Linked DNA regions of Drosophila melanogaster. The protein of the gene in region 2 purifies or fractionates together with the protein of the main gene of each other region. This does not show direct contact. Each region holds a gene or a part of one and is shown on either strand. Other genes may lie near its edges. The genes, in order: Ars2 and Cbp20.

Region 1 (17,104 bases), on a different chromosome or scaffold from region 2:
TAAGAATCTTAGTGGCCTTTGATTTCACGTAGCATTGGTAGAGCAGCACTGTGGTTTCGGAATCATGGATACGAACGTATCGGTCTAGGCTTGCAGAGCTCAGAAAGCGACCGGTGGCATCTAAATGAAGGTCACTTATCCCGCCTGTGAATCCCTTGTACGTATGCACATGAGTTTTCATGCGTCGAGTGTCAAAGGCTTTTAGAGCACCCATTGTGGTACCCGTGTAAATAAAGTTTCCCTTTGCCACTAAAGTCGTAAAACTCATCCCGTGCTCCTCGCTGGCAAAACATGCAACAGGTCGACGCTGCTTACGCGTGTCATAGATGCGAACATAGCCGGTTCGCGAGCAAGTGGCCAGTACACTAGGCCCATCCACAAAGCCGATATCGCTGTCCCAAACCGGAACCTCTAGCTGCAGATAGTCGTTGGGCAAATTCTTCGAGGTGAAAATCTGCTTACCGTCGGCATTTAAATCGTAGACCTTTAGATTGTTTTGACGCTCTTTGCCGCCAGTTGCTACAATGCTTTTGACTTGGGCGCACTGGCGCAGGTGGTCCATTTGGTCACCCGTGGCGATAACCACGGGCTCGGACTCGTCGTTCGCCTCTAGCTCCAGGCTCTGTATCTCTCCGTTGCCAATGCCGGCAATAAGCTTGTCATTGTATCGGGCCAGACCAACAATTGGCGCAGCATTGAAGGATACTGTGTTCCTAGAATGTCCCTTTTCTGTGAAGGAGTGAATCTCCACGGCGTCCTTGGCCCGGCCTAGAAGGATCTCCGTCTGATCGTCGTTGCCAAAGGCCAGAGATGTGACGCGGGAATCCTTATCCAGGGCGCACAGATCACTCAGGTTGCTTTGTCCATAAGGGGTCTTCTCGGATGCAGGCACCAGGTCTAAAAAGTTGAAGTCATTATTATTATGCTGTTCGATAAAGAACAAGCGGACGTACGTTTAAAGGAGCCCGTGTGTGTTCCCACATACAGTTCGTGCTTCGCCGTGTAGTTTACATGTTTGGTATTTGCAGTAGTCCACTTCATCTCAAGACGCGGTTTCTCTCAATACTTGCGATTAAAACGTGAATTAATGGTATGCGGCTATACAAATTCGTGCGGTCAAAACAAATCCTACACGTGCAATAGAGATGTAAAAGACATATGCTTAATAATCGATGTTATCGTTTATATCGATATCTAACGGCCACCGATATTTTAATAACATTTAGGGTAGTCACTAGGCTTCAGTTTGCTGTTTACCAGTTTAAAACATTTTTTTCGTTGAAAACCACTTCTCTTGTGAGAATATAGTGATACGCATAAGACTTTATTTGATTATAACTTCTTTAAGTGCAGTTTTGTTGTCATTTTAAATGCAAGCAAATAGTATGCAAGCCACAGTGAGAATATTCCCGTGAAATTTGTAAAATTTATAGAAAATTTTAGCCCAATCGGATTTGTTTCTTGTTTTTTCGTGCGGTGGACTTAATTCTTGTTTTGCAGTGATACAAGCATGTTTTTTTGCGGGTATAAAGACCACAACGTTTTGAGAATTATTTCCAACTAAACTTTTTTTTAGAAAATTAAAGAGATATTTGAAAACAACATTTTATATGTAAATTTTATAAATTAAGTTTCAAGTGCATGTCTATACCCTATTCAGTACTGGGCAGCACATGTGCTCAGCTGTTCGTGTGTGTTCACCAACACTGTCATGTGAATTTAAAAACAAATAGCGCACATACGTAACTTAAAGCAGAAATGGCTCTCACCAAAGTTTATGATGCCGCCACAGTGTTTAAGCACATGAATGGCATTCTAAATGTGTACAAGCCATCCGGTATGAAGGTGAAACACGTGCGCAATGCTATTCTGAGCAACATTTGCAAGGGTAAGCCTAGCGCCATTTAAAGAACAAATTGAAATTAAAAACAGATCTGCAAAAGGACTCAACGAAATGGAGCAGAGGAAACCACGCAAGTTGCAAGAGAACATTAGCCTCCTGGGCACAGGCACTGCAGCAGATCACGTACTACATAACATAGGAGAGCAGACGGATCTATCCGACCACCTTCTGTCCACCGGACCGCGGTACCTTCCGCGAGACTTGATCTGCACCACAGTGTCCAGCCTGGGCGATCACACCAGCGGAGTCCTGCGTAAGTCATGTAAAACATTTTAAATCCAGATCTAACCATACTTTTGTAGTCTTTGGGATCAACAGGGGAGCAGGCCAGTCTAGTTCTATTCGGAAAAATCGACCAGTGCGGGTCTACCATCTAATCGGGCACCTAGGCATCGCAACCGAAAATAACCTACCAGACTCACGGGTCATAATGCGCTCCAATCACCGACACGTGTCCGCAGACAGGATCAGCAGTCTAGCCGCCTCCATGCAGGCATCCCATCAGCGTAAGATGTTTGAGCTCTGCGGTGTCGATTTGCAGACCCAGGAGGCCTATGAACTGGCCTGTAGGGGTCTCCTACGCCCAGCGGACGACAGTCAGCCCGTCGTCTACGGCATTAAGCTGATTCACTTCGATCGACCGCACTTCACCCTGGAACTGCACGCCATCAACGAGACGCAGGAGTACTTAGCTACGCTAGTGCACGATATGGCTTTGGACCTCCGAACCGTGGCGCACTGCTCCCAACTACGCTGCGTGCGGCATGCCCATTTTGATGTGACAGATAGTCTGCTCAGACACGCCTGGCACTTGCCAGGAATTATCAAGAACCTCCGTCAACAACGTGACATCCTGAGGGCGCATCCACAGCTTCTGCGACAACAGCGAGTGGAACTGCGAGCTACAGATTAATTTAGGAATTCATTGTAATTGAATATAGTCAAATAAATATAGGCAGATAAACTATAAAGCAGTCAATCAGGTCAATAATTCTGGTAATAATTTTTGATAAGAATATGCAGAATATCTGCTTATTTAAGTCAGCATAGTTTATTGACGGTTACAGTTCAAAATAGGTCATTTATAAAAAAAAAACGTAAGACTCTAGTTTAGTAAAAGTAAGATGTTTAAAACGTGATCTTATTAGAAGCGGTAGCCAAAAACCATACATTTCACAAATTTTTTTTGAATTAATTCTAAAAACAAGGGAGATTGCTATAGTTGATAACCTCGACCCATCGAAGGGTCAGTTGTTCCAAATTATGTAAACTAATTTCTTCGGTGCTCAATATCATTAAGAAGTGATTTTTTTCAGGAAATGTGTCATATACCAAACCTTGTGAATTTCAATGGTCACGCAGTTGGTAATTTAAAGAGAAATAGGTAAAATTTGAAAATAAGCTATATAATTATAGCTCTACAAAGACATTTAGGTTCAGTAGGAAATAGATATTTATAGCTGTTTTCCCGGTTATCTAGCGGATTTTTCCAAAGAATCAAAAATAGCGCACATGTTTTTATTTTAAAATCTTATTTTATATATATCTTATAGTTTTTATAAGCAACCCAACAAAAATGTGTATTTTGAAAAGATTCCTAGTCTCGTTTTACAATTTCTTTTGAACGGCGCTTCATTGGATTTTAACAAAGTGTGATTTGTTTTAACAGCACCTAACAGCATCCGGTGTTCAAAATGTTCACTTGTACCACTTTCGCCGATCTAGAAAATTATTTTGTATTGGCTTCGTGATCTTGATTATAGGCAAGAGCTAAAATTAGTTTTTCGCACTCGAAGATTTCCATCTGCAATTTTTCGTTTAGCTTTTTGCCGGCAACTGATTCTTGCTCTTTCTCCAAAACCATATGCGCTTCCCTAAGACGGCTTTGCGCAAGACCCAAGAGGGAAGTTCCTTCTGCTGGTGCCCTTCGTGCCTGCTCCTGCAGCGTGTGGGCGACCTCGATCAGGATGACCGTGACATAGATAGCCAGCTTAATGCTATATGGATCCAGTCGCCGGCATACGTTGTAGAGCTCACCGCAGAGCCTCAGTTTGCGCTCCAGCTGCGTGTTGCTCAGCACGCCCAACTCCAAGCCAGCTTCGTTACCATACAGCTGGATTAATGTGTGCTTTAGGTTGAACGTGTGAAAATGATTTGGATGCAACATATGGGTCAGGCGGGCCAACAGAAGTTCCACCTGATTCGCGGAGGGGCATCCGGCTAATAAGCCCTCCACCTGCTCGGTCATGTGGGACTGCAGTTCAGCCACGTAAGCTCCATCCACTATCATTGGGCAAGTGTCGCACTTCCACTGTGTGTTCTCGTCCAGTGGATCCACGGGCAAGTGGGTTCCTCCACAGGTCTGATTTACATCCCCCAGACAAGTCAGCGCACTTATATAGGTGCCATATTCCGTTGGATCGAGACAGCGGCTGCAGCGGCAGCTGAAATGCTTCGTTAGTCGAAGATGGTGCTGGCGAAGTTGCGTGCCCCATAGGATATTTGTGTATGTAATCCGTAGGTGGTCGCCTTTTCGCAAGTCACAGCCAGCACGCACAGCAACTTGCTGAGTCTTGTTATCAAACTGAAAGTCGCAGTTGGGCTGACAAGCATGCTCCATCATGCAGGCCTGCCGGAACAACCCGCTGAGTTCCACGCCACTCGGGAGTTCGATAACCATAAAGTTTGTTTCGATGATGCCGCAAAGCCGATGCAGCATCTCTGGTCCACAATCGGTCAGAAGGTTTGGATTAGTTTGCTTAAGTCTACATAAAAACCGCTTTTGAAGGTAGGTCACTACTCGCTTCTCTGCTTCCTCGTACAGATCGGTGCCCTTACGCTCCTCCTCATGAGACTGCATCTCTAACAACGCGGACCATTTCGTGGGACTCTGTCGCTGCAACAGAAGGCATTTGAGCACCAAAAGAGCATCGCCCCTGAAGTAGTCGTTCAATGAGCGGGCATCTGCCCGAGTTGGTGAACCCGATCCGAGGCTAAGCACGCTGCATTCCATTGACTCGTGCTTGCAGCCTGCGCTGCAGACTGGCCAACGGCATCTGGAAATCACATTGTTCAAATGGATGATAGACTATGTTTATTAGTATATTTCACCTTCGACACTGGTGCTTCCCCAGACGGCACGGAGTGTAACAGCCTACACACGGAACGTTAGAGGCCTCCTTGTCTGCGTCGGAGAGATACCACTTGGGACCCACCACTAGGGGCTCCTCAATGAAGACTATTTGCCCGGCTGCTATGTTCTGGGTAACCTTCAAATATCTGCCCAGCTCGGCATCCTGCTCCTCGCTGAATGGCCTACATCTGCGCTTGTGCTGCGGCCAGTGCTGCTTCTGGTGCTCTCGGTCGCAGTATCGCACCATTTTGCACCTAGTGCACGCTTGTGAGGCAGCAACTCCGCAAACAGGACATTCCGTGCTTGACACCATTTATTCTCCTGGTCCACTGGGACCAACTGCACCACAATGTTACGTTGGCAAGGGATATTTTCTTTTTGACGTTCTGATCTCAGCACGCCGGCGATTGCGTTCTTATTTTTAGCTCGTTTCTCCAAATGCCAGTCTTTCGGGGCTAGCCAAGAGAACTTATGTGTTTAAGTGTATCTCGTTTAGACATTGCCGTACGTTATACTACGCGCTCTCTGTTTACAAAGGGAAAAACAATAGAACCCAATAAAAACTCAGCAAAAAGCTTTTTTTCGCACTTTATTTCCTTGTGGAATACAAAAGTTGACCGTACAAAACAGGCGAAAATTAAGAGAGTGTTTGAGTGTTTATCAGTTAATTTGATACAATTTATCTAGCTTGTGTTCTCCGCACAGCTAGTTCTAGTATGGTTCTTGCGGCGCGTCCAAGTCCCGGTAGTGTGATCTGGGTCGATAATCAAAACCACCGGGTCTGCAAGCAACGAGAATGAATATAGATATTGGAATTATTCACGCAAGACTATGGATAGGGCAGAGATACAAAATATTACAATGTTTTCTTTTAGGCTATGGATTTTCATTTATTTTGGGCAATAAAGGTAGGTTCTAGCATTGTACAGGAAAACAGATATCATTAGTCGTATATAAACCATCTTTATATGCAGTAGATACTTTTCCTAGCATTGCTTGAATTGCATTTAAAACTTGAGCTCGCCAACCGATATAAGCTGCATCAATATGGCCTGTTTTTATTTGTATTGTGCTAATCAATTAGTCAAACATATCAGAATTGGCAGGCGCATCCAAATCATGGTAACCGATAAGCCGGCGCTGGTGTTCCAAAGGCAATTCTCTGCAAAAAATTTGCGACACAAGAAAGTTGTGACAAATTTCAATTTAGGCCAACAAAAGAGAAAAAGTAAAAAAAAGGGCAAGATAGAGTCTCCTAAATGCTATCAGTGTTCGAGTATGTTCGTCGGAACTGTATTATCCGCTGTAGTGGAAAGTGGAATCATGTGTTCGGCACGTTTCTCTTTAGCACTCCAAGGAAAGATCGTCTTCGATTCTTGGACAAATCGATCAATAAAATTTAAATTTATCTATTCAAAAATGTCGGGAATGACTGCCGAGAATTGCACATCTACACTATAGAAATTTATGTATAGTACTAACCTGCGCGCGGGAGGGAAGTTGCGTCCTCCACGGCCACCACCCATCATGGGTGGACCAAAACCATAGGGCATTGCCGAAAAAGGTGGATACATGGGCGGTCGGTATCTAACATTTTGGAAACAAAATTAAATAATTACCCTTATTTGTTGTGCAACGGGAATAAATGTTTTACTCACCCTCCACCACCTCCACGAGCAGATTCCGATTCTGGACGCTTAGAGGTGCCTGGATGTTCGGGAAGTTGCGGACGCTTAGGATCGCGTAGATAGTTGTTAAAGTATTGCACCTCCTTGCGCACCTCGTCGACCTTTTCCTCGTGCTTGTTGAAGATGTGCTTGCGGATGAACTCGGGCCCCTTAAACTTCTTACCCGATAGGGGGCACAACCATTTGTCTTTGGCTAACTCCTGAGTGTTCGCTTGCACAAACTTTTCCACCTCCGTTTCGGCGTCCTTGGCTCCAAGATTCTTAATCTCTTCGTCACTCAGTGGCACAGTCTTAGTAAGAAACTGTTGCAACTTGCTTTCGTATATCTTGATATACTCTTGCACGTCGTTGTTGGTCACCCGAACAGGAGGTGGACCGCGGGCATGGATAATGCCGCAGCGGTTGGGCATCTCGTCTTCATATGGATACTCACAATGGTTGTAATAGTCTACTGAGTGCACTATACGCAAGTAAAGCACAAGGCGATCAAGAACGGATATAAGTTGTTCGTCACGCTCAATGGGCTCGCCCTCAGTGTCCTTGTTTTCGCCGGTAAGGCCGAGAAGCTCTTCTTCCTCAGCTGACGCCTCTTCGATAAGGTAATCAGTGATGTTTTGCAGAACCGGGTTTTGTGAATTGAAGCCATACGTGGATCCGCTGCCATTTTCAGAGGACTCGTTCGCTCGGGCGGAATTGGAATCATCTTTAGGCCCCTCTGCCCATAATCTGAACTTCTCATCCAGATTCAAAGCAATCTTGGCACACAGTTTAATGTCTGATCGCACTACTTGCTTGTGCGCAGTTATACCATTGGCTGGACGTACCCGTCGGCTGAGGTCCCGATTGACGATAGCTCCCATTTCACAGTCTCTCAGTCGCTGATTGTTTAGACCCCAGCAAATCTCTTTAATGTTGACGTCTCGCATGAAGGTTATCCAACCCCTACGATACCAACGACGCTCCACCAAGGGGTCTGCAATGGCCACCCTTAAGTAGCCGGAAAAACGGTTACACACGGCCTCGATCTCTGATCTAGTTATCGAGGGGGCTAAGTTTCGCAGAAAGATGGAGGAGGTCCTATGCAGAGCCCTAGGCTGGCCATCCTTTACTTTGTCTAGATCAATAGTCTCGGTTTCGACAACCTTGTCTTTACCAACAGAGGGCTTCTCTCCATCCTCTTCTACTTTGCTGCCGTCTCCATTATCCGTGTTCTTAATTGGATTCGAAGATATTTCAGGTGACTTCAAAGTATTGTCAATCTCCTCGTAAGTATTGATTTTTGAGTCTAGTCCTTTGGGCTCAGTATTTTCATTACCTTCGTCCTCGTCCAGTTTGGGACTTTGAGGTCCCTGTTTTGCTTTGGTCGCTTCTTGTCTGTCCTTCTCTGCCTCGGTTTTTTGTTCGGCCCTAAGGCCATCTTCCACATCATACTTTTCCTTAAGTTTCTCTTCATCTGAGCTAGAACTGGATTCGGATGAGGAGCTGTCATCATCGCTGCTGTTGCGTTTGCGTTTTTTTGTCTTTTTCTTGTTCAACTGTTTGTCTTCAGGCTTGGAATCGCTGTCTTTTGAATCCTCGGCCAATTCTTTTTTTGGCGCCGAATTTTCTGCATCGTCATCATCCCAGTTCTCCCCATCAGAATTAACAGGCCTCACAGGTTTCCGTTGTGTCGACACCGGATCTGCCTCACTCATCTCCTCTTTGGGACTGTTAATTGTTTTCTCCACCTCCTTGACGGATTGCATCTGCTCCGCCTTTCGTTCGTACACTACTGGATCCTTGGGTTTTTCGTCTAAAACTTTGAGGTCCTCATCAGTGCCGCCTTCCAGCTTTATAACGCATGTATCTAAAACACGGATCAGAGCATCAGCCTGAGAAGAATCCACCTTCACACTTCCTATTGTTCCGTTCTCGAGTAACTCCATGAAGACATCAGTGCGCCTCTGCAATAAGTAAGTTTGGTTACGGTTTCTGCGGTAAGGGAAGCAAACAATTAAACCTGAAGGAAGCCCCGCTGTTCCTCGCTGCGTTTAACACTGTCCTCTGGATGGTATTTGTTTTTGAACCTGCAGTTAAAAAAAATAGTATGGTTATTAATATTGCAGTAATTAAAATCCTTGTTTTAATTTCATCTCTCTTTCTTTTTCGCCCGGCTGTTGATAGTGGATTCGGTAAATTGTTCACCTGTTTAGATAGGTTGTTGTTGAATTATCACCCAAAATCTTACCTTGCAAGCTTATCGCTTTCGTTATTTATGGGATTGTTTTATATTTATTTAGGCTTTTGTTCGTCAATCGAATTTAAATAAATCGCGGTTTTGAAATATGAACACACCTCGGCATTGCTCGCCGGGTAATTAATGAATTATACTCAATCAACAGCTCTGCTATGGCGCAGAATCTCTCAGAGAAGTTTTTATCTCACAAACCCAATAAGCTGCAGGGAAAAACTTAATATATAGAAAGTTATGAGTGGCGAACAGAAGAACGGCAAATAACGCAATGCGCCGGCACAAGCAGAGATATCAACAAAACCGTCGTTGATCCACTTTTGGCCAGCTACTAACCATTCCTCATCCTTGTGGGCCACGAAAAACTCGTTTAGCTGCTGGCGCTTGAAGTCTGTTTTATACTCGGTGTATTTGCGCATCACTTCCGAGTCAGAAATGTTCTCGTCCTGGGTGTCGAGAAACTGCTTCAGGTTGAGCATGGCTGGTTGGGTAAGGGTGTCGCCTCCGCCGCCGCCTATGGACTCCCGAACAGGTGGTGCATGGCCACCGTGGGAGTAGGCCGAATGCATCGACTGGTAGTGGTCGTTCCAGGCCTGCATCAAATACGGATCATAGCCTTTATAGAAAGAGAATTCGATAAGCAGTCTGAAAAGCCTGGAGTCTAGTAGAACTCACCCCCAAAGCGGGGATTGGCGCGCACATCGCCGTCCCCCCAGTCCGGGCGCATACGCTTGGCTGGGGGCAAATCACGGACGGGTGACCCATAGCGTGGTCTAGCTCCCGGGCCACGGTAGTCGCTGTAGTCTGGTCTGTGGCGAGCTCCTCCTCCGCCTGCGGAAGCTCCGCCCCTGAACGGATTGCTGAAACGTCCAGTAATGATGTCATGTAATAGTTGAAAGGTGACCTTCACTTACCGCTCCGCCCACTCGTCGCGGGCACCGGCAGAGCCGCCCACCGGCCGGCGGTCATCCCGGCGTTCCGTACGGTAACTCTCGCGCTCCCCGCGGAATTTGTCCCGTCGCTTGCGGTCGTACTCATCGTCGGAATCACCCATTTGGTCTGCAACGAAGGCAAGTAATATAGATGAAAGTCGCTTGTGCTTAACCTCACTTATGTGCCGGTAAGGGCTTCAAATATTATGATTACAACAGCTCCAAACCGTTTGCAATTTGGGTCGGCAGGCTAGTTATATCGTATTTAATTTCGATTTTCAATTAAGCAGATGTGGCCGCCATCTTGTCAGTTTGCTTACAACCGCTTACGTGTTTCATCGAATGGACAATGAGAAATGCATTTTAAAAAATCGATAAAAGAGCGTAGAATACAACATATCGGCATTTTTTGTTACATTTTTCGCTCCTTTATCATTTTTAATTACCTTTGCCTAACTAAACCCAAATTTTACTTAAAACTTTGCGTCTATCAATTAGTGTGACCGCTTTTGTGCAACGCAATATACCTTCCAGGTATGAAATGAAAATATACCAAATTGTTTTATATCCCTCTAATTTGTAAAATTATCGATAAATGTTTCCACACATTATCCCCGTGTTGATTAACCCGTAGGTGGCTGGACTGTTGGTCCCATAAGTCTTCAAGGAACTGTAACTTGTTACCTATCCACCTTCCAACATGGCAATGATCAAAATCATAAAAGTAAACTCGGCATAATCCAATTGAGAATATACCTGTTTAAAAAAAAGACAATCCAAAATTTAGTTGATTGTCGGCGACAATTGTCGCCGTTCCAAATTTCTCCGTCAACCAACCTTCCACATTCCGAGTAACTCTTCTTATATATTTTTCTTGGGGTTTGCCTTCTCTTTACCAAAGACACTAGAATTATTCTAGACACTATTTTATTCTAGTGCCTTTGTCTCAACCGTATTAATTGCTCAACACTCAGAGAAAAATCCGTTCTCAACGATCTCGATTTAAGAATTTTGATCTCAAAATCTTTCCAAGATCGAATCATGCTCAGAATACTCGAATCAAGAGCGAACCAAACATTCCCATGTAGTTCAGAACTTGCCGTGTCAATCGATCGAAAACACAACCGTAGTATAGGTAAAAAGCAAAGACTCTAGAATATTATTATTATTATTATTATTATTATTATTATTATTATTCTAGTGTCTTTGTAAAAAGTAACCCAGTGCACTATTTGTGTTAAATAGTATAGGAACCTAGGTAAAATATATATATTTCATCCCGAAACATTAAATTGAATAACAACTTTGTGAATTTTCTATATAAGTAAGAAGTTAAAGTAAAATTGTCAGAACATTAAATAGACACATTGATTGATTGACATTCCAGTTATTAAACATTTGTTAAAAATAGGAAATATTACAATGTTTTTTGCTTAAATAAACTTTCATATTTACCAAACTAATAGTAGTAAATAACCACATGTACTTTATATAACTAAAAACCAGGCTTAACTGTAACAGAGCCTATTTTTTTGTAACATATTTGTCGTAATGGCATATAGTTTTATCTAATTAAAAATTTTAAATGAATGTGCATACAAAAATGCATACTTATAAAAAGTGTGTAATGTTCAATTGTTTAGTTTTATACAAGAATATATAATACATACATTTACATATATATTTATAGCTCTAGCGAACAACCAAATACAAATAGTGCAACCTGATAAATTACTAACAATAGAAGATGGTATAGTATAAAATAGAATAGTAAAATAGTAAAATGAAAGCGACATAACTCCACGGCAATAAAATATATATGCGAGAAATTGAAAGTTTTTGAAATAAAGAAGCGATTTGCTTATCGACTTACTGCTGCGAAATGTAACAGGTGAAGTAATAAATAATAAACAATTTAAAAAATTGAACAACAAAGTAACCTTAGAACTTATACATATTTGACGTTACGTAAACTAAGCATTTTTTCGCTTTTAATAAAATATAAAAACAATATTGTATGTATTGGTGTAAAGTAATGATAAATGCGGTATGGCATACCGAATATCAAGTAGTTATCAATTAAAAGCGACAAAACTCCACTAATGCTAAATTTTTGCTTAAGCCTATATATGTTAACAAAAAGCTGAATTTTATCATCGTCATTTTTTATAGTATAGTAGTCTTCTACCATAGTCTTCTGATTCACCGGTTAGTTTCTTGTGAGTTGCTCAGATGCCAATGTACCTGCACGAATGCAATAACGAAATAATAGTTCAATTTGGTGCCTATGTGTGTATGTGCATGTAAGTTGCGAATCTCTGACGTCATTAATCATACAGGGACTTAGGTGTCTTTATATGGAAATAGATGGATAGATTTACATGGATAAATGGATGGATCAGCATAGGTGTCACTAGAATCAAAAGCCTTTTAACTTATAGTTTCGAAATATTGGCGTTCATGCGGACAGACTGAACGGATAAAAAGGTGGACTGAAAGGTGGAAAGTGAAAGACATACGTTGCTATAGTTCATGCTGAAAAATATATTAACATATATATTAAATAAGCGCATTCTTCTGTATGCTAATATTATTTGAGGATGATATTTTACCATTTACTCCTTGAACAACCTGTTTAAATACCCAACTAAAACAAGTTATTTAAATATATCGTTTTTATTTTATTACACTTTTCATATATCGTATATATAGACTTCTGTTAGATTTATGTTTATATATATATATATATATATATATATTTACAACTTAATTATACAACTATGCAAATTGTATGTGTATCTAGTTCTAAATTAATGTATTGATTAAGAAATTAGTATTAAAAATGTAATCTTTGCGCCCTTACTTTTAGATTAAACTTTTGACAATTGGCCTGATCCTCAAAAATATCCTACTCGACAACTAACTGCATATAATCGACAATATTAGCTGTCTTACTTATGTCCACCAACTTAACATAATGCTTTAATTTTAAAGTATAAAAGTGTGTATGACGTAACATCGTTAGAGCATTACATACCTTTAAATTAATCAGAATTTTAAATATAATATCAGGTTTATCCATTTATGTAAGTATGTAGGTGCATGTAGCTTTATTTCCATGCACCGTATGTATTGCATATGGAGTTTTTACCATTCTGGTGTATTTAATGTGAAGTCCATTCAAATTAGAAAAGCACGATTCACTGCTAGTTTATTTAAATGCTAACAATCTCTACTTCTCTCTCTTTATCAAAATCGATATACGGCAACATAAGGAATATGCGAGACATGGAAAGTTTTTGAAACAAATTTGCTTTCGATTTGCAATTCGAATTGCTTTCGATTTGAATTTGCAATTTGCTAATCGACTTACTGCTGCTTAATGTAAAAGGTGAAGTAAAAGTTTTCTGGCAGTGTAGCATGTAAATAATAATGCGAGTGAAATAGAAAACTATTTCTAGGCGATCTGTCAAATCACCAATTAATTTACTATTTTTTTCTACGTATCTGCGGTGTAATGGGCTTTTTTCACAATATTGTAACTTTGCTGATTAGATTATCGACTTTCTTTTGTATTTCTCGTTACACTAAAATGCCATCAATTCAGTTTTCAGTTTTTTATTTGTTTTTTAAAATCTCTATTTCCGGAAAAAATGATTTTACTCGCTAAGATCTGTGTCTAGCAATTGTGTGCGTTGTCAATCAATATACGTATAGGTACTGACTTAAAGATATACTCGAAATCGTATCTTGAAGTGGTTGTTATAATTGTATATATTTCGTGGGTATTAATGGTACAATTTAGAATTATATTACTGATTGCTAGACATTGCAAATGAAATTAGACTTATGGTTTCTCCCCTTTTTTACGCTAAGTTTGAAAATGGCTGCGGTTCGATAACTTAGTCAAACTACTTGGTATTATATCTCATTTTCGGTTTGGCAGTGAGAAAAACTCAGCTATTTAACTCAAATCGATTTAAAAAGCTTTCTCTTTTTGTCCAGCTTGGGTTATGATAATGGAAAGAAGTAAAACTGAAGTTTAACGTCGCCGATTATACATACGTAGTTCTGATAACGCCTAAAGCTAGGCAATTATGAGCGGCAAACCAGGTAGCTTTAACAAGGCTTGTGCGTTCTAAGTTCAAAACGAAGTCATCGTGGGCTAAAAGTGCGATGGAAACAAATTCGTATAAGAGAAATAATAGCTTTCTTGAGTGTATATACTTTGTTCTTTTCCTGCTCATGCTCTGCTGCTAAGGTCTCGCTTGTAGTTACATTTATTTTTATAATGCTTAAAACCTTTCCATCACCCAACATCTGTTGCCCTTCTGCTTAATCATCATTTGTTTTGCTTGAGGTAGTTTTTCAATTCAGGATCAATATCTACAAGTTGAACACAAAATGCTTGTAAGTGTACGAGTATGAGTGTCAATCAATTTCTCTTAGGGTTACAGGGTGTGTACACGGTCGTGGTCGTGGGTTCTACATAGTTAGGTCTAGGTATTGGGGCAAAACAAGTTACGAGTTTACACATAACAGAAAACAGTGCATAAAAATTAAACACATTGAATTTCAAAAATCTACATAACGATTTTCTTACGTTTCAGCTTTAGCTTTGTGTGTTTGTTGTTTCTTAATCTTTTTATATGAATGAATCTGTCAACAAATTGCTATTTTATACCATACAATCTTGTATTTTCGTAATTCATCAGGTTGCATTATTTGTATTTTGGTTGTTCGCATTTTTTGTTTTCAATCTTACAGAGCCAGAGCTATAAATATATATATGTATTAATATATGCATATGTACAAAGTCTTAGGCGTGCTATTATAATATTTGAAAGATTTTGGGAGGGTCAATTGAGAGTATTTATTAAACTTCACTTACACTAAATATAACACTCGACTTGGGTCCGAAATTGCAAATCGAATGGAATATGTGGAAAGTCATTCGCTCCCTGCCACATTCGTGTCCTTAGTAAACTCTAGTGGTACTTAAACAGTACGCTTGAAGGCTATTAAATAGCTTACTTGCATTTCATCCATAATCCAACTGAAATAAATCATAAACCAAATTTCGACAATATAGGCAACTGCTTAATTCATTTTCATGCTTTGATCTCTTCCTTTTGTTCCTCGCCAATTTCACAGCCATTTGCATCTGTATCGTATGCAAAATTTTGTTCAAATTCTGAATTTCTACCTCATAAGTCTTTCACTCGCACCCCATTATTTCGTATCCTTTCCCTAGCCATCGAAAATCAAACGGAAATAACAAAAATGGATTGAGAAAATAAAAACACTGAGGTTTTGGTTTATGTTTTTGAATATTTTTTTGTTTTCTTATTTTTGTTTCAACATACTTCTCATATATTGTATACATTTTTCTTGCTTTCTCTTTTCCACTTGCAGAAATAAGGTAAAAAGGTAAAAATAATCCGTATTTCGATAGTTTGTTTCTTTACATTACGTGTAGAACTACAAAACAAGGTATGTATAAAAGTAACTTTGTATATTTGTATAATAATAATTGAACGTACTTGAATATGCATGCTAGAAGGAATTTAACTAAGGCCTATTGTAAAAACGAAACTAATAAAGAGTTTAATGAGCCTGGATAGTCCATGGATTCCCTTGGAGCTTCCCACGAACGTCTTTGTAATATGAATAAATAATTCACTGATTTTCGTTTGTCGAAGTGCAGACTATATTTAACAAGAATTTTCTTCTTCAATGCATTTAGCTCGTTTGATAGAGTTATTTCCAAGTATGTCCATGATGTCATGCTAATTTTAGTTCGTCATTATACAAATTCATATTTATAAATTAGGTTGACTTAAAATTAAAAATATGTGGCTGGATGTGTAGGCGTGTGTGTAAATTATATTTAAATTAGGATTAGTAGTAAAAGTAAAAAATTGCACAATTCAAGTAGAAAGCTACGTAAGATATTTTTTGTCTTCTTTTTACATAATAAAAGAATCACTTTAAACTTTAATTTTTTATTAATATTTTACAGTGTTCTTATTTTCAATTTTAAACACATTTTTTTTTACTAAAATTAGAATAAATTTGATTTAAGTTAAAATAAGGCCAACAATTTAAAGTAAAATTTATTTAAAATGTACATCCCAAAGCAAAATGAAACTAATACAATCTAATAAAAATTATTTTGAAAATCAATTGCATAAATTTTGTATAACATAAAAATTGCCAAAGTAATCAAATTTGCACGTTTTTTGTGTGGCTTTCATAAAAATTTTGATTTAGCCAAATTAGATGGATGTGATTCTTATTCAAATTTCGAATTATCAATGTAAATTTTAAAAATATATATTGAAGTCTTTTGGTGTATGCATGTATTTATTAATTTGTGTGGTTTTTATCAAAGTGATTGAAAACTATTTTCCACCAAAAAGTGTTTCTTGAACTCGAAATTAGATTATATTTTTAATTTAATACCTTTTGATGCCTTTTGGTTTTTGAGTAAGACTCCAATCACTTTCATTTCATTATCCTTTGTTTAGTTTCAATATCAAAGTTTTTTTTGAAAACATGTCTAAAAACAATGCCAATAATAAAGGTTTTTGCTGGCTAATATTTTTGGATGAAATTATAAGAATCTAAGAATTTAAATTCTCGTTTTGAAAACATATAAGGGTGTCATAATAAAATATGTTGTTATTTGTTTTTGTAATATTTTTTTCAGGTTGCCTTTCTTTATGATTAAAAAATATTTATAAAATCAGTCCAAGTTTTGCGTGTTTTAAAAGTGTTTTGTTTTTAATTACTTTAAATGATTTTAATTATGGTGGATGATAATGTTATTATCATTATTTTTGTTTCATTTAACAGATTTTCTCACTTCCCTACAGTACGAATTTATAGTTATAGTTAGATATTATACAGTTGCTTTCATTACGTTTAGAGTTAGTAATTATTATTTTATATATTTTTTAAATATAAACAATCTTTATTCTCTTCTCTCTTCCCTCTGTTCACGCCCTACTGTCTGTTCTCTTTTCTGATCTGTTTCGCATGCAGTTTGGAGGATCAATTTAGTTAACAAAATTCGAGAATTGATCGTGAGTCTGATGCGACATACATCCACCCAAAAAAAATGTATACTAAATTTCATAATTTTCAATGGTTTTTTTTTTCTTAAATTTTCTCCCGGTTCCTCAACGCGTTTGTCCAATTGTTGTTGAAGCTTTT
Region 2 (16,783 bases):
GCTGGGTGTGTGTGTATGTGGACAAGACCAAGCTGCAAACCTTGCTGGCGGCGATGGAGCTGCTGGCTGCGTTGTTGGTGGCGGTGGATGAGGAGGAAGCTGACGAGGAGGACGCCGCCGAGGCAGAGGATGCCGCAGCGGCTGCCGCCGATGCTGCGGCGGATGTGGCCGCCGAGAAATGTTGTGCCAAAGTGGACACAAGTGAATTGCTGCCGCTAGCAGCGCCCGTTGACGTTGTTCCAGATCCAGATCCAGATCCTGCTCCTGCCGCGTTCTTCGACATGCCGGCATTCGAGGATAGCGAGAGCGAAGAAGTGGAGGACTGCGATCCAAATGGCGAGGAGGCAATCAGTGCAGCTGCAGCCGAATTCGCTCCACCACCGTATGTGGCGGCCGAGGATGAGGCCGAGGAGTTAGCAGCCGCCGAGGCTAGCGAGGATGAGGCCGCCTGTGAAAGCGAGGACAGGGCCGAGGCCGACGAATTGGAGCTGGTGGACGAGGACGATGGTGAGGAGGATGTGGTGGGTGCTCCGGATCCGGCTGCTCCTCCTGCTGCTGCCTCTGGCGGTGAGAGGGGCGTTTTCCGCCCCTCGAACTTGGCCTTTAGCTCCTCCACGCTGCTAAACCTGAATCGGCTGCCGGTCTGTTGCTGCTCCTGCTGCTGATCCTGCACCTGATCGTCCAACTCGTCGTCGGCCAGCTGATCTAGGCCGCTGTGAAACGATGGAGATTTGGGTATGCGTATGCCGAGGGCATAATACCCGGCTGCAATGGGCTGCGTTTCCTGCTCCTTGCTGGAGGATTTAATGGGCGCCGGTTTCTTTTGCTCTTGCTGCTGCTGTTGCGATTGCTGCTGCTGCTGCTGCGGCTCCTGCTGATGTTGCTGTTGCTGCTGTTTGGGACCTTTGAGCCCGTTGCCCGTCAGCAACATAGCACCGAAGACCATCTCATTAGTGCCGGCACTTGGAGCAAATGGCACTCGGTTTTAATCTTGATACGGAACGCTTGTTTTTTTTACCAGCCGCCCCCGCCGACCAACAACAACACATGAGAAAGACTACACTAGAAACTCAATTTGGGCACGCTAAGTATGAAACTATAGAATCTGTAATGGAATTGCAATATAGATAATGGTTTAGATTAACGCCAAATGCGATTATGCGCTGATGGTAACACAAAACGAAATGAAATGCAATTGGAAATGAAAATGGAAATGACAACGCCTCTGCTAAAATTCTTCTTTTGCCTCACAAATGGCCATAATTACGTGGAAAAACTTACGGTTCGAATGGGAACAAATGAGGGAATAGGATAGGAGAGCAATTAACTTGGGAAACGAATATTTTCAACTAATATTAAAGTTTTCGGGGCACACGACGTTCACGGTCTTGAAACGGTTTTTTTTTTGTTGCTTCGACTGCTGCGCCAATCGGAAAAATCGATATCGAGAGAGAATGAAATGGAGAGAAATTTGGTGAGCAGCAGACAGAGAGAAAATAAAGAGAGAGAAAGTGGGCTGGTGGGCGAGCGAGCCACAATAACAATAAAACCTAATAAAATAAAATAGTATTGAACAAGCGAAATTTGTTTATTCGATTTGTGAGTCGAAACCGCCCAAGCAATTAGCAGAAAGGTATGTGAATAACGCAATGCGATGACATTCATGCTGCACAGAAAAAAAAAGTGTAGCAATTTCATAATCATTACGCGCAGATATGTACATATATGATTTTCAAAAATATTGAATTTGCTTTTTTTTAAATTAATTCCCTGCAGGATACAGTTTTTCTAATTATTTGTATACACAAGTTTAAATCAATCGAATACATTTGTGTCATAAAGAAATGCCGGTGTATATATGAAATTTAAGACGGTCTGAGAAATCCTCTAACGATGCTTTCTCCCAGTGTAATGAGAGGCTGCGGAGAGAGCGCATGTGTTGAAATTCCGGTGAGTGAGAGAGGTGGAGAGAGGTGTGAATTGATGCGGCTGCTTGGTTCACATGTGTGAGTGGCCGTGCGTCAGTGTTGCCACCCACCTAATCAGACGACACTCCCTTGACCTTTAACTTTAACAAATAATAAACAAATTACAACAGCTGAGCGAAATTAATCAAGCGCCGGCCAATCAATATTCCCAACAAGCTTGCAGGTCGTAGGTACACTTTACAGAGAATGCCTCTTGTAAGTTAAAGCTGAACTTATAATCATGGAAATTTACCGGAGTTAATTGACATAATATATGTAATTATGCATCGTTAATGGGAATTACTACGATTTATACAATCTGTTTTGAGTGTATAGTTGCATAAAAACTTAATTGACGATGTTGGTAGACAGTAAGAAAGGTAATTTTATATCGCCTAAACGGAACCCTGCCCTAAAATGTATGCTACGACATGGCTACGACCAAGTTCTACCCCATGCAACCGATCTGCAGGCTTAAGAGATATCGATCTGAACAGCTGGCAGTACATGTATTATAAAGTAATATACTAAGTAGTAGGATCTACTCCAAGGCTACTCACTCTCGTTTAGCGGAATGAGGGCCGTCAGTTCGCAGTTCTTGGAGGCATTGTACCGGGCGCTGGTCTGGCGCTTCTCCTTGCGAACGATCGGGGTGCCGGTGATGTTCAGGACCTTGCTGATCGGCGTGGGCGGCGGTGCATCGTACGGTGGTGTGTTGTCCTTGAGTTTGTTAGCCTGCAAAGGGGCATAAATGACACTTATCTGATTATCTTTTCCCATGTCAACGGTTTGGCTTATGCTTAGTAAATGAAAATAATTTTAACAACGAATGCAAAGCAATATGCGGTCAAATAAAAAGCATACTCAAAACGTAGCACTTGCAAAATCAGAGCAAAGCAGTTCAGTTCGGGATGGTCCCTCGCTGCCATTTTGGCCGGCCATCGCTTTTACCTTGGACTGTGCGAATCCTTGACGCCTAAGTTGAGCTGCCTGTGGGTGTGTTTTAGTCTGAGTTTAGTAATGCCGAACATTGAAATGTGCTCTGGGATCAGGAAGCTGGAGTTCCGTAGGCTCTCCATACACGTATAGGATTATATTGCTGGCATCTACCAGGGAATCAGGTGGTGGCATATATGTATATATTTTCCAGGCACTAACATTTATGTATTTTTTAAAGCATTTCATTGGGCAATTTTTTGGCAGTTTCAAAAAGCAAAGTGCTCGCCTTATACTTTATGTTTTATTGCAAATGTTCAATATTTTTGTCGTTGGAGAGACAAAAATGTAAAAAATTTTCATTAAAAGTTCTTCTAGTTAATAACAGGCATGTGAGTATAAAGATTTGTATAATCAACTCCGTCTTTTGTTGACACAAAACTTTCGGGAAATCGTATAAAATCTAGGATTTAGGGCAATCTATTCATTCAATCGCAAAAGTCTTATCAGAAAGTAGAACCCAAGGTAATATAATTGAAACGATAACGATTTGTAAACCAAAATTGAAAAGCAATAAAGATTGCTAGATTACTGTTACCACTTACAAGGTCATTAAATGCTATTTATATCGTTTGTTAAATAAAGAGTATTTCCTCTATTTAAAGAAATAATTAAATGCATCATATTTCGTATAAAAAAACTTATGAAATTAATTAAAAAATCATTTTTTAAAATTAAAAAAATTAAAATCTAATAAGTTTATCTCTCTAAGGACTAACGAATTGGTCAAATTGGAGATGAGGAAAAGGGGGAAAGTGAATATCGGTTTGTCAAGCACTTGCGATACAATTACGATTCGATTTGTTATCCGAACGACATACACTCATTTAACAATTGGCAACATTGTGAATCTAATTGGTGTTGGTCAATCTAACTTGAATCGTGCGGGGTAAGGTGAAGCAGCGATACAATAACACACATCATTAGCACTGATTAGATAAGATAAGGCTTAGGCACACACACAAATGCACAGTGTGCGTGTAAGCATTACGAGTGAGGTTTACGTTACGCCAAAATAACGGTAGGCATGCAAATAGGGCGACAAGTGAAAGACAGGGAGAGATCGTAACAGAAACAGAGAGAGACTGTGGCTTAAAGACAGCAAGAGAAAGAGAGTGAGTGAGGGAGTGTGGTGGGGAGGGCTAGTGTTTTGGGGGAGAGCTACTCACCAAACTGCTCAATGGAGGAGTGCCGCCGGTCACCACGATTGTGGACGTTATTGCTGGAGCTACTCCTTCTACAGTTGTTGCTGCCGCTACTGCTGCTGCTGTTGTTGTTGTACTTAAGTTACTGTTACTCTCTTTGATACCGTTAGTGGCCGATGCCGGTATGACTATATTGTTGCTGCTACTACTGCTGATGCTGCCGCTTGTGTTGCTATTGTTGTTTGTGGCCGTTGTTTCGTTTTTTGATTCTGCCGCTGAGGCTGTGGCCGCCGCGATTGTTGTTGTGGTTTCCACAACTGAAGATGCTGCTGTTGTTGTCGTTTCTGATGCTGCTGCTGTTGGCGTCGCTGCCGACGTACTGCTTTTTATTGTTGGATCTAACGCCTCGTTATCCATAATACGCAATCGGTTCTGACTCTTTTTGGCTCTTTGGATGTGCTCTCCTCTATGTGTGTTTTTGGTTTTTTATAACGATTTTTTATTTTTACAAAATATAAAATACGTATGAAAAGCAGCGAGAACGAGAGAAAAAAACGTAAACAACCGGACAAACAAACAAATACAACAGGCCGGGCTGGACCGCTCTCAGTTGATTGCTATCTGAAAATTATATTTGCACTGTGGAGGGTCGAAAGAAAAAAATTAACGTAGCAATAACTAAAGGAAAAATAACAATAGCATCACAACACACCGTGCAATTAAGCCACAAAACAACACACTCAAGCAGACACACACACACACACACACGCATTAACATTCGCATTCGAGGGGCGCTCAACGTAAATTAAGGGTTTACTGAAATCTACCACGAATCTTCTCATCACTACTATTCCTCATTTGTTATGCAACTTCATGGAAATTCCAATACTGTTTCTTTTCCCTTTGATCACTGTACAGTGGAACGTGCATAACTCGAATTATCTATATATTACATAAACACGCTGCTATTAACTTAACCATAACTGTAAACAACACATTACCAATGGGAAACGGAGCAACCTTTAAGAATCTCTCGCTGCGCGCTTTCCAATTGGAAATGCCTTAATGGCGGAAAACCGCTTCGTATCGGAGTTCCTAAGTTGTCACAAGATGTCCCCACAGAACCGCGATCATATTCTCATTCTCTAGCATAGAAAATCCGGTTCTAAACGGTACCGAAAACACGTTCATGCAGCGTTCCTCCGATTAGTGCTGTAACTTCCAAGTGGACAGGTGTTGTCGGTGATGTGGAATTTCGGATTCCCATTTAAATGTTAGCATCAACACTTTATGCAGGTCTTCAGGCGTTTCATTGTTTGGCATTGTTCATTTCGCATAAAACTATACTCGAAACGAAAATAAGTAACAAAAATGCCAAAACACTGGCGCAGAGAGAGCGTACTTGAAAAGAGAGTAGAGAGAGAGAGGAGAGCAAGCGAGACGAGCAACAAGTTGAGAAGCAATGGCCGTCGACCAATTGCCAGGGTTGCCAGACATGCCAATAGAAATGGGGAAGGAAGAGCGCTTTTGGGTGGTGTTGGTGTTTTTCAAATTTTTTTTTCATTTCTTTTTGGAGGTGCAAGGATGGGCAATCATCAACACAAGTATTGTTGGGGCACCCAGCAAGTACTCATAAGTTTTGTTGTTGCAAGGAAGGGGTGAAACAGAGAGGGAGAGAGACGGAGACAGTCGAGAGCGTAAAAGTAAAATGTGTACTAGGCACGATTAATAGTTGTAGTTGCACTTCCAAGACTCAAACACACAATTATTATTAAATATATATATATTTATATATATATATGTGCACATATATAAGTGGGGAAACAAATATAACTTTGAATGTCAAGGGGCGAGGTTAATTTGTGGGTTATATTTTCAGAGGGGGGTTTTTAATGGGTCTTATTTCGCCAATTTACCGCCAGAAGCTGCAAGAACTTGTTCAATTTGGCCCTGCTGCGATATAGGTTCGCCAACATCAAGTTCACTGCTGATAAAAGCTAGTTCTTTGCGTAAAATGCGAATTCTAACAAAAACGCTTGCACACGCACACAGAATCACAGCACAGCGCACACACACACACGCACACCCCGCTCTCGCGTTAAAATTCAGTCGTCGAGGCTACACGAATTATTTGCGCTGCAATTTCTTCGATCGCTGCGATTCGCTTCGATTTTCGCGTGCGAATTCCACAAGGCTCGCTCGCGAATTTCACACCCAATAGCTCGGCGGTCTATCGGCACCGGGGTCAAGTTCACCTTTTCGCTTAGAACGCACAACATCAACGCTCTGTGCAATTGTAAATAATAATTTATGTAAACTGTCTTATACACGCAACGTTGTCGGTGCTCAATAGAAAATAGAGTTACCAGGGCTGCAGGCGTGCGGCGGCGTTGCCTGACCCAGCCGACCCTCGATAGTTACTTTTAGGAAGATTTTACCGACTCCGTTTAAAAGCTAAAACGAGCTTTTGCTTATGCTATTTACTTATTTATATTTACTATCTTTATACCTTACTCTCCTCTACTGTCTTATTGCCAAATGCGAAAGACTTAAAGATCATTATTAATTATAATAAACCGAATGTTTACAAACTGTTATTTAATTGTTGATCTCACATTATTCTTTAATTTTGTAAAATAATAACTTCGAGTGGTTTTCGATAGCTTGTACATAATTTGTGCTAGCTGCATTAAAATATTAATAATTTTAAATAACATTTGGCAATTTACAAGAATCATATATATGTACTATATATTAATATAAGGAAATATTTTTGTAAATTATATATTAGCAAATATTGCGGCACTTGTTTTACAAACCAGGGCCGCTTGGCCTAATGACACTTGGTGGCAATACAGGTGGCAACGCCAAAGACAGATTGTTTATATCGCTCGACTTCTCGAGTTTGACTTTTAATTTTTTAATAAATTTTACGGCAATTGCTATGCAGATAACAATCAAGGTGCTGAAGGGCAAGGACTGCACCATCGAGGTAAGAATGAACCTTGCCAAAATCAAGTGAGGTCGCTAATATGGTAATATTTCACACAGGTGGCGCCGACATCGACGATTCTGGAGGTGAAACACCAGATCGAGGCGGAACTGCAGATATCGGCTACAAATCAAAAGCTACTGCTGTTGGGGCGACCGCTTAACAATGAACAGACAATTGCGTCATATCCCAACATCAAGGAGGGCACCAAACTCAATCTGGTGGTGATAAAGCCCTGTTTAAGGGACAGCATCCTGCGGGGATTCCGCAAGCACTATTCGGAGCCCCTAGCTGAGCGTATGACCAATGAGTTTATGGCCGACTTCGAGCGGAAAATCAACGAGCAGAGCCTGGACGACCTGGAGAGACTGGCGGACAGCATAGTCAACAGAGCGGCCACATAGCGCCATTGAAGACCCAATACCAACCACCACCACCCCCTCCAAAAATATGATGGAAGTCTATCCTTACAGCATAATATTTTTATTTCCCCCCTTTAAAAAAACAAACTAACTAAAAAATATGAGGTAGTAAAAATTAAGACTTGACTGAAAACACACGGCCCATATTCTTTTTTGCGACGGTCTGGCAACGCTCCACCGGCCAGTTGCAGTCTTTGGCTGTGTGCGTGCGTGCCTGTGTGTGTGAGAAGAAGAAAGAGAGGAGAAATGCGTGTGCTGTCGTGCAAATTTCTTGGCCGAGTTGTTAACTCCGCGCTGCCCCAACAAATCATTTCACTGCGATCCCTGTCCAAAACCAGTGCAGCTATGGTGAAAGTAAGTGCAGGTTGACCGGCAAACGCGGATTTCCGGCTGTGCGGCAGTCCGGATTCCATTACATAAGCCGGTGCCGAGCTGCATAAATATTGATTGCGGCGGCACCCAGAAATTACAGCGTTTCAAGGTTATCGCCTCCATCTTGCTGCCTCTTTTCTCTAAGTACGCCTGTCTGCCTCCCACTTTATTTCCAGGTAGGAGACTCCCTGCCATCGGTGGATCTGTTCGAGGACTCGCCAGCCAACAAAATCAACACCGGCGATCTCGTCAATGGCAAGAAGGTGATCATCTTCGGCGTTCCCGGCGCCTTCACTCCAGGCTGCTCAAAGGTGCGTAGGTAGCATAGTTGCAAAGTCATCTGCTTTGAGTTTCCGAATATTGTAGAAACTTCCAGCAGTATAGTGTAATTTATGCAGCTTATGTATTCCAACTGAATAATGCATTTCCCCACACCCACAGACCCACTTGCCCGGCTATGTGAGCTCCGCCGATGAGCTGAAGTCCAAGCAGGGCGTGGACGAGATTGTCTGCGTTTCGGTCAACGATCCCTTTGTGATGTCCGCCTGGGGCAAGGAGCACGGAGCCGCGGGCAAGGTGCGCCTCCTAGCTGATCCCGCCGGCGGTTTCACCAAGGCCCTGGATGTGACCATCGATCTGCCACCACTTGGCGGCGTGCGCTCAAAGCGCTACTCGCTGGTGGTGGAGAACGGCAAGGTGACCGAGCTGAATGTCGAGCCCGATGGCACCGGACTCAGCTGCTCGCTGGCCAACAACATTGGCAAGAAGTAAATGGAATCCAGTCAGCCCGAAAACACTAGAAACTCATACATGCTAATGCTAGGCCGCAATGATATCAATTACGTCTTCAAAAGAACTATGTAAAACGTACAATATATATGCGATTAGAGATGTTATGTCTAAGGGGTATGCTTTAATATCTAATTGGGGGGCTTATAGTCTTTACAGTCATTTTATCTAATAACTAGCGATTGTCCGTGTTGGGTGCAATCTTCTGTGACAACAGTTTGCCATAACCCCCGCGGCCGGCATCGTAATCCGTGCGGTATTCATCTCGCACCTGTCCGCCGGTTTTGCCGCGTCCATACTGCCTGCCCTCCACGAAGCCGGCGTCCCAGTCCACACGAATCAGACGGTCGTCCAAGCGAGTGCCATTCACAAATCTTTTGTGGGAGAAGAAAAGAGTGTTGAAGTTAGTTAAGAGATAATGATACCCCATCTGATTACTTCTACAAATGCCGGAAAAAAGGCGGCTTTTTCTAGCGTGGAGAGATGGATATGGCTCACCTCATGGCCGCCTCCGCCTCCGATCGGACATAGTACTCCACGAAGCAGAAGCCGCAGGGCGTCTTCTTATACTTGTCCAGGCCCATCACAATCACACGAACATCGCCGCAGCGGGAGAAGAGCTCGTGGATCTGCTCCTCGGTGGTGTAGAAGCTCAAGTTTCCCACGTAAAGTGTACACGAGTCGCGGAGCGATCGCTCTTGCTCGGAGCGCGAGCCCTGCAATTGGTTTATTGAGTCGGAGATCTGCTGTGGCGCCTTCGGATGTACTCACCTTGAAGTGCTGATCGCGATATGAGCTTAATTCCACAGATGCGAACATATTTTTCAGCTACAAACTATTGAAATATTTTCTCTGCTTTTATTTAGTGACGGCACTCTATTGACTGATACTTCGATAGCACTTTGAAATATGAATCGGTGAGCTAGTGCATAAAAAGTTTACTGGGTAGCAAAAATATATTATTTTAAAATTCGTTGTATACTTATATATCAATTTCTCTCATGGCCCTAACGGGAACTTATTCTTTAAGCTTAGAATAAAAATCATTGCAAATATTAACCATGTTAATATAATATAAACTAAGCTGTTACTTTAGGCGATAGTTCTGTACATTCGATACACACACTGTTTACGTTTGGGTATTTTCGGCACGCGTTAGTACATTTTCATATAACTGCTGTTTCACCCCGAAATTTTGTAGCTCGTTGTTATTGTTAATTTTATGGACTCCGCACACCGTACTTAATGAACGCCACACTCAATTCCGCGGGCGGCAAGCGTCAGCTGCGCTTTCGCGGCGACGTCACCGGCAGCCGAGTGGAGGAACTGCATCATCAGCAGCAGGAGGAGCAGAAGCAAAAGGCGCCGCTCGCCCAGGATGACGTTGCAGCGACGCCGACTGCGACGCCGGCAGCGGGCTCAGCGCAGCAGCGACTGCAGAGCGGTAAACACGGATTTACTGATTGGAAAAACATTCTTTTGAATTATTATTATTTAGTTCTTAGGATGACATTTACGTTAACTAATTTTAATTGGGTTTCGCGCTATTTCATAGCAACTTTACTTTTGATCATAACATACACATTTGCCTTAGATTTGATGCTATATTTAAAGTTCTAGAGAGATTTTTAATTAACTTAAATTCCAGATAAAGCTCTTAAAAACCTAATATATCATAATTTGCAATTTTTGAAGTTGTTTTAACTAAGGATAAGGATGTATAATCAATGATTTGTAATCAATCGTTATCTATTTTACTTAAATCATTAGAATCTATGCATATACTTTATATTTGATTCATACTTATCATTCATTTTTCTTTTATTTTTGCAGGAACCGCCGAAACCTGCACAAACACATTCTACGACTTCTTCAAAGTGGAGATGACACGCGGCTATATGCTGGAGCACGACGAGGAGCGCTATTCGGCGCGTAGGCAGAAGATCTACAGCTTCATGCGCATACCGCGGGATCTGGAGCGATTCATGGTGTACGGGATCATGCAGTGCGCCGACTCATTTCTCTACATTCACACTTTTCTGCCCGTCCGATTTGTGATGGCCGTTTGGGCCCTAGTTTCCAGGACGGTGGCAAGAATCTTTCGACTACGCAGCAGCGGACAAAGGCTGCTATCGCCGGCGGAGATCTGTGATCTGCTGAAGGGCGTCATCTGGATGACGGTGACGCTGATAATGCTCCTGGTGGACACGAATCGGGTGTACCACATCATCAAGTCACAGTCGATCATCAAGCTGTACATATTCTACAACATGCTGGAGGTGGGCGACCGGCTGTTGTCCGCTTTTGGTCAGGACACGATCGATGCTCTCTTCTGGACGGCGACAGAACCAAAGAATTCCAAGCGAGAGCACTTTGGAGTGCTTACGCACGTTCTCTTCACGCTAATCTATGTCTTCTTGCACAGCGGACTGATCATGTTTCAGGTGAGTAATGGTAGCTTTATAAACCACATTTTCTCTGTGATTATATTGGTTTGGTTTCTAAACTATTCCTTCAGGCCACCTGTTTGAATGTGGCGGTGAACTCCAACAACAAGGGCCTGCTGACCATCATGATATCGAATAATTTCGTGGAGCTCAAGGGATCCGTGTTCAAGAAGTTCGACAAAAACAACCTGTTCCAATTGACCTGCAGCGATGTACGAGAGCGATTCCATCTGTCTGTGCTTCTGTTCATTGTGGTCATCCAGACCATGAAGGAGTTTGACTGGAGCATCACCCAGTTCTGTGTAATGCTGCCCGACTGCTTTGCCGTGCTGTTCACGGAAATTCTGATCGATTGGGTGAAGCATGCGTTTATCACGCGATTCAATGAGCTGCCGGAGAGCATCTACAGGGAGTACACGACCAGCTTGGCCTACGATATGACCCAGACGCGGCAAAAGCACGCATTCTCAGATCATTCGGATTTGGTGGCCAGACGCATGGGCTTCATTCCATTTCCGCTGGCTGTGGTCCTGATAAAGGCCATCTATACAGCGGTCTCTTTCGAGAATCTAGCCGCCTGGCTGCTCTTCCTGCTGGCCTACTTGTTTGCCATGGGCTTGCGCATTTGCCTGACCATCTGTGCGCTGGGCAAGGCCTGCAAGCTAATGAAGGAACATCAGACCGAGCGCAACAGTTCTACACCGAGTAGCATGACCAATGTGCCGGTCATAGGCGCAGCTGCTCCTGTCTCAGCGGCTGCGACGGGCGGACAGAATCACAATAATAATAATAACAACAATAACAACAGCATTAGCATTGGCTCGAAGCCAGCCCAAGTGACCACACTGTTGACCCCGCCCAGTGCTGGCCATCTCGATGTGAGTAAGAATTTCTCGCGCACCTCAATCGCATCCACATCCACGCCAAAGAAGGCGGTCAGTGAGCAGGAGCTGGACGTGACCAACTCCCTGGAACTGGGCGCCACAGCTCTCTTCTCCAACAGCGATGTGGATTTGGACGATGTTTGCCTCAACGAGCAGGTGACCAACACCAATACCAGTTCAGCCGTCCAGGAGGTTTACCAGGAGCAGGACCTGGTGCGCAGCCAACCGGATTTGATGCTGCTCAACAATTCCGGCGACGGAGTGACAAGTGCCAAGGCTAAGAAGGCCACCCAGCGATTGCCCAAGCGAACGCACAAGCGTTCCGAATCGGAGCCGGGCATGCCCAGCATGGTGGAGAAGGGCGGAGCTGCTGGTATTGCGGGAGGCAACCAAACGACACAGCTGTAGCCATAAATCGATGCTAATTTATTATTATATTTGATTTTATCCTATACGTAGTTGCATTGTTTGATCTTTTAGGCGGCGCTTAGTTGCTCTTTTTCGTATAAGTATAAGTGGAGAACTGGATTTGAAAAATGTACTTTAGATCGTAGCCAAAATTATGTTCGCCCTGGAATATCGAACTGTGCCTCAATATCCTTAAGATGGTGTGTGGTACCATGGTATTTCTATGAACTTTATAAATTCGTTTATTGCGATGTCACATTTTGGCTGTTTCCGAGCCCTTGCAAAATAAAAACACTCAATAGCTTTTGTCCAAACTATTTGTTACCACTAGGTGGGGTGATCCATTTTATAAACTTATTTAGTTCACTATGGAATAATAGTAGAAAGTTAACTTTGCTATTGTACATAACATTCTATAAGAAATACAATATTAAACAGTTTCGATTATTTATTTATGACAAATAACTTATATTTTTTAATGGATTCAACTTTGGTATGTCAATGATATGTCCACGGATGACCATGTAACCAGGAGGACTTTTCGTGGTCAGACTGCTGGGAAATCTTGTAAATTGTGGATACAGGTGGCTTAAATACAGGCAAAGGACAAAAACTTGGCGATGTTATGTAAAAATATTACTCATACGACACGTTACCATCAGATTGTGTAATAAATACTTTTCAACTTGGCAAAAATCGAATCTAACTGAACGGAATTTAAAACATAAAATCTATGTGACGTACACAACAATTTCATTTATTTTACAAATACGCATCATTTAACCAATAACCTTTAACATTTTCAAGTTAGCAAGATTTGACTCCCAGCTGAATGAAAGCCAAGCTAAACTAAGTTTACCACAAATTCCTAGGGGCGAAAATTGCTTTCAGCTTAGCGCGAAATTGTTTTCTGGACGAGCTCCACCCAAAAATCTTTGGGATCAGAAGTTTGGAGCATCCCCACAATCCTCCCCCTGAGTTGGATTCATGAATGAAATGGTTTCCCACTTTGTTTGTGTTTGCACGCGTAGAAAAATCAACAAGCTGCAAATGGAGTGCTCACTCAGGCCCAAATCCGCGCCCAACATCCAGCTCTAACCTCCTGTCCCCCAACCATGACCACCTTCTGGGAACTTACACGCGCCATGGATATATATACATGTATATCTACGCCGCGGGGCGTATCAGTTTTATGAATGAAATTTTACGCTGACCTTGGAACAGCGCATTGTGGTTGCGTCAGTGGCCGGAAAAAATGGGGAAGTTTTCGCAGTGAAATTGGAGAGAGAACATTTTCCCCTTTGGAAAATTCGCACATTATGGTGCGCAAACTCACCGAAATGTGTCAACTTTTCTCCTCGCTGGCCGTTTTCATTCATGAAAAGTTCGGCCAACTTCATGAATGGTCTTTCCCTTTTTCGATTTCAAGGACACGACGCTCCTGCGGAATGGCGTCCTTATCGATTTTCCCTCTCGCATTTATGTACATTTTCACATTCGCTTATTGCGTGGGCGGAAAATATGTTTTTTCTTCTTGTTAAGCGTGATTTTTGAGCAGATTTATTGCTGTTTTGTTTGACTTCTGTTTAAAGTCGAGTATTTATGTGATTTTTTATTTAAATTGTAGCATTTAAGATTGAATTGGGTTTCCGTATGGAAAATTCAAGCTTTATAAGAGGGGAAGTACTTAAAAATGTTACTTAATAAGAGTGTGAAATTGATTTGTTTATACAAAAGCATGGCAGCAATAATCATATTATTAAAATAACCCCGAAAAGTAGGCCATAGTATTAGCTTCACCTGGCCAAACTTTTTGATCCACCGAAGTTTGTGAGTTTATAAAACTAATTCTAAACATTCAGACTTTCTAATCATATTGCATAGTTTATGAGAGGCATAAGGACATCCTTGGTCTGGTCTAGAAATAGCCTTGAATGTGTCCACATGTCATGTGGACCAGTTTTTTTTTATGAATGAAAAAAGCACCACACCCAGGAGCACCGGGGCAATGCTTCACCTTGCTCTTGACTGCCGCTTTGCCCCAAACATCATAGTACATATATCGATTGTTCGCTTTAACTTTGGACCTGCGCACTAGCAGATACAGATACTCGTACCAAGATACATAGATACTATAGATACGCGTACTTATGTAGATGTTTTGGCCCCAGCTGCTTATCACTGGCACATTGACGACAATGAGCTTTATATGATGCAGAGACCGAACTGTTGCTTCCCACTGACGTCATGGGAATGCTGATGATTAGGGTTTCTTGCACCGAATGTAACCAAAATCCAAAGGCTGCATAATCACCGAGAAAAGCGATGCGAAGTTTTGTTTATCATGTAATTTGTAGTTGTATAAATGAAGTTAATGATAAAATATCAGATATCTGTGACTCCACTGTGGGTAAAGTCCTGAAACCAGTCGAACTGCTCCAGCCAGCGTTGCATCACGCCGCCAAAGACGTACAGACGCACTGGAACGTAGTCGACCTCTTCGTTCACATCGTCGGAGGAATTGGATGACTCGCGTTCGTTATCCGAATCGTCATTCGACAGAAGGACATCCAACGCAATGAGGCAGTGCAGCAGATAGATAACACTGGACACCAATGAGGCTGTCGCCTGGTCCCGCAGGCTACCGAAGAACGGATGGAGCGGCTTCTCCGGATATAGTAAATCATCCGGGTTCCTTCCATCATACCATATATAGAAATCCGTCTCGGCATCGCCCAGTGCCATCAACGATATTACCGTATATAGAACAAATCCGATCAGAGGACGCACAACTTCCTCAACGATCGATGTGCGATGACCGGTGCAGAGATTTATGCTGGCAAAGAGCGTTACCACTGTGAATATGTAAAAGAAGGACATATAAAAGCTTTGGATTAGAACATCTTCCCATTTCATCGTTGTCAGATTGACGAAAACAAATGCTTTCAGTTGGTAGTACAAAACGAATAAGTTGGCCGTCGTCTCCACCATGTAGAAGAGAAAGAGCACCGGGCGCATTTGATACAAGTAGACCCTCATTTCTGCAGTCGCTTCGAACGCTTGACAAAACTAACTACAATAAGTCTGTGCGACAGGTGTACTATGTTTGAAGTGAAACGCTTTAATTCCAGCTCAAAAATTAAAAAAAAAAAAAAATAACAGAATATGTAGAGCCAGGAACTAAGCTCAAGTCAATTTGGTCAAAAAGATTTGGCTAAAACTACATAAGCGGCCCAAACGAATGGTCAAAACGAACTGACTAAGATGAAAGACCAAAACGAAATAACCAAAGCAAGACAAAAACGAAATGATATAACGAAATTAATGGCCAAAACCGAATGACCAATACGAAATGGACAAAATGCCATAACCTAAAGCAAATGGTCAAAAATGGTCAAATGATCAAACGGAAGGAGCAAAGCGAGGTAGTTTCGAAAGAGCTTCATTCTACTAATTTACAATTTAATTCAGATTCTTGAAAATATGTTCATTTATAAGAGTCAAAACAGTTAAAACAAATAAGAAATGTATAGGCCATAGGTCTGCTACAATTTGTTAATGGTTTACATTCTGCCCAAAGGGTTTCCACAAAATGCACTTTGTACCCGGAATGTACATATGTATGTACATACATATATGTAGTTCCCATTAGCGAACTCGAAAGACACGCTTTTGTTGTAGCCTCGGTTTCTTTCTCGGATGGAAAGTGCTGCTTTGGGCTCGGCTCATCTCGTCTGATCATAAAAAACCACTTCACTGCGGCGGTTGGTGCTTCTGTTGCTTCGTTTGCTTCTGTTGGCCGGACGGACTGCGTCTGGAAACAGTAGCAACATTTGCCTGCCAGTTTGATGCTGTTGACTGCTGTTGACGGCGATTACGTTGATGACGCGCAGACCGCAACGAATTTACGCGCAATTCTCCACCGTGCTCCAAACTTCAAGCTCCAAGCTTCAGATTCGGCTCCAGCTCCAGCTTCATCTGAAGTGGCTACGGGGTGGGGGTAAGCATTTAAATAAATGTTTGTACACACGAGCCGCTCATGAAACGCCAAAAAGTTAGTACACTTGTACAGGAACAATTGAATTTTGGATGTAATATTTAATTATGTACTTTGGTCAAATAGATTGGTGTAATCATAGGACCTAAGCTAACTTTTGATTTTTAACTTATGCAAGTTCAAATACTGGTTGCACTTTTATACATACTTTCCTTTCATATTAATCAATGGCTATAAATGCAATGCTACATTCGTTTTTTTATATATATATTTGAGTTCAATGACCTTTAGGAAATTGAGATAAGTTGGCAGTACCCTGCGAATGCTCCGACGATGCGAATCGATAAAAAGTAATAAGTAATAA

What was found.
Region 1: the proteins of Cbp20 (region 2) and Ars2 purify together in Drosophila melanogaster (affinity purification with western blotting, with the first as the bait; one study listed by BioGRID). This does not show direct contact.

The regions. Positions count from the first base shown.
Region 1 is NT_033778.4:6,075,218-6,092,321, forward strand, and holds Ars2 (arsenic resistance protein 2), read right to left. Parts: upstream 10,409-17,104; 5' UTR 10,333-10,408; intron 10,220-10,332; exon of another isoform or gene 10,014-10,219; 5' UTR 10,009-10,013; coding exon 9,869-10,008; intron 9,815-9,868; coding exon 9,630-9,814; intron 9,571-9,629; coding exon 9,291-9,570; intron 9,174-9,290; coding exon of another isoform or gene 9,140-9,173; exon of another isoform or gene 8,952-9,139; intron 8,791-8,951; coding exon 8,724-8,790; intron 8,668-8,723; coding exon 6,695-8,667; intron 6,624-6,694; coding exon 6,519-6,623; intron 6,199-6,518; coding exon 6,117-6,198; 3' UTR 5,818-6,116; coding exon of another isoform or gene 5,748-5,817; 3' UTR 5,611-5,747; downstream 1-5,610. Other genes in the region: l(2)k09848 (lethal (2) k09848), read right to left, coding at 1-897, 954-1,041; CG7849 (uncharacterized protein), read left to right, coding at 1,759-1,888, 1,944-2,156, 2,206-2,816; SmydA-5 (SET and MYND domain containing, arthropod-specific, member 5), read right to left, coding at 3,633-4,959, 5,015-5,349.
Region 2 is NT_033777.3:18,157,448-18,174,230, reverse strand, and holds Cbp20 (cap binding protein 20), read right to left. Parts: upstream 9,571-16,783; 5' UTR 9,503-9,570; coding exon 9,455-9,502; intron 9,400-9,454; coding exon 9,182-9,399; intron 9,058-9,181; coding exon 8,859-9,057; 3' UTR 8,792-8,858; downstream 1-8,791. Other genes in the region: wrd (well-rounded), read right to left, coding at 41-946; CG7215 (uncharacterized protein), read left to right, coding at 7,053-7,100, 7,160-7,504; Prx5 (peroxiredoxin 5), read left to right, coding at 7,769-7,876, 8,071-8,205, 8,336-8,665; CG7218 (uncharacterized protein), read left to right, coding at 9,929-10,127, 10,517-11,127, 11,202-12,422; CG14315 (uncharacterized protein), read right to left, coding at 14,808-15,461. UniProt on the Drosophila melanogaster protein: Component of the cap-binding complex (CBC), which binds co-transcriptionally to the 5' cap of pre-mRNAs and is involved in various processes such as pre-mRNA splicing and RNA-mediated gene silencing (RNAi).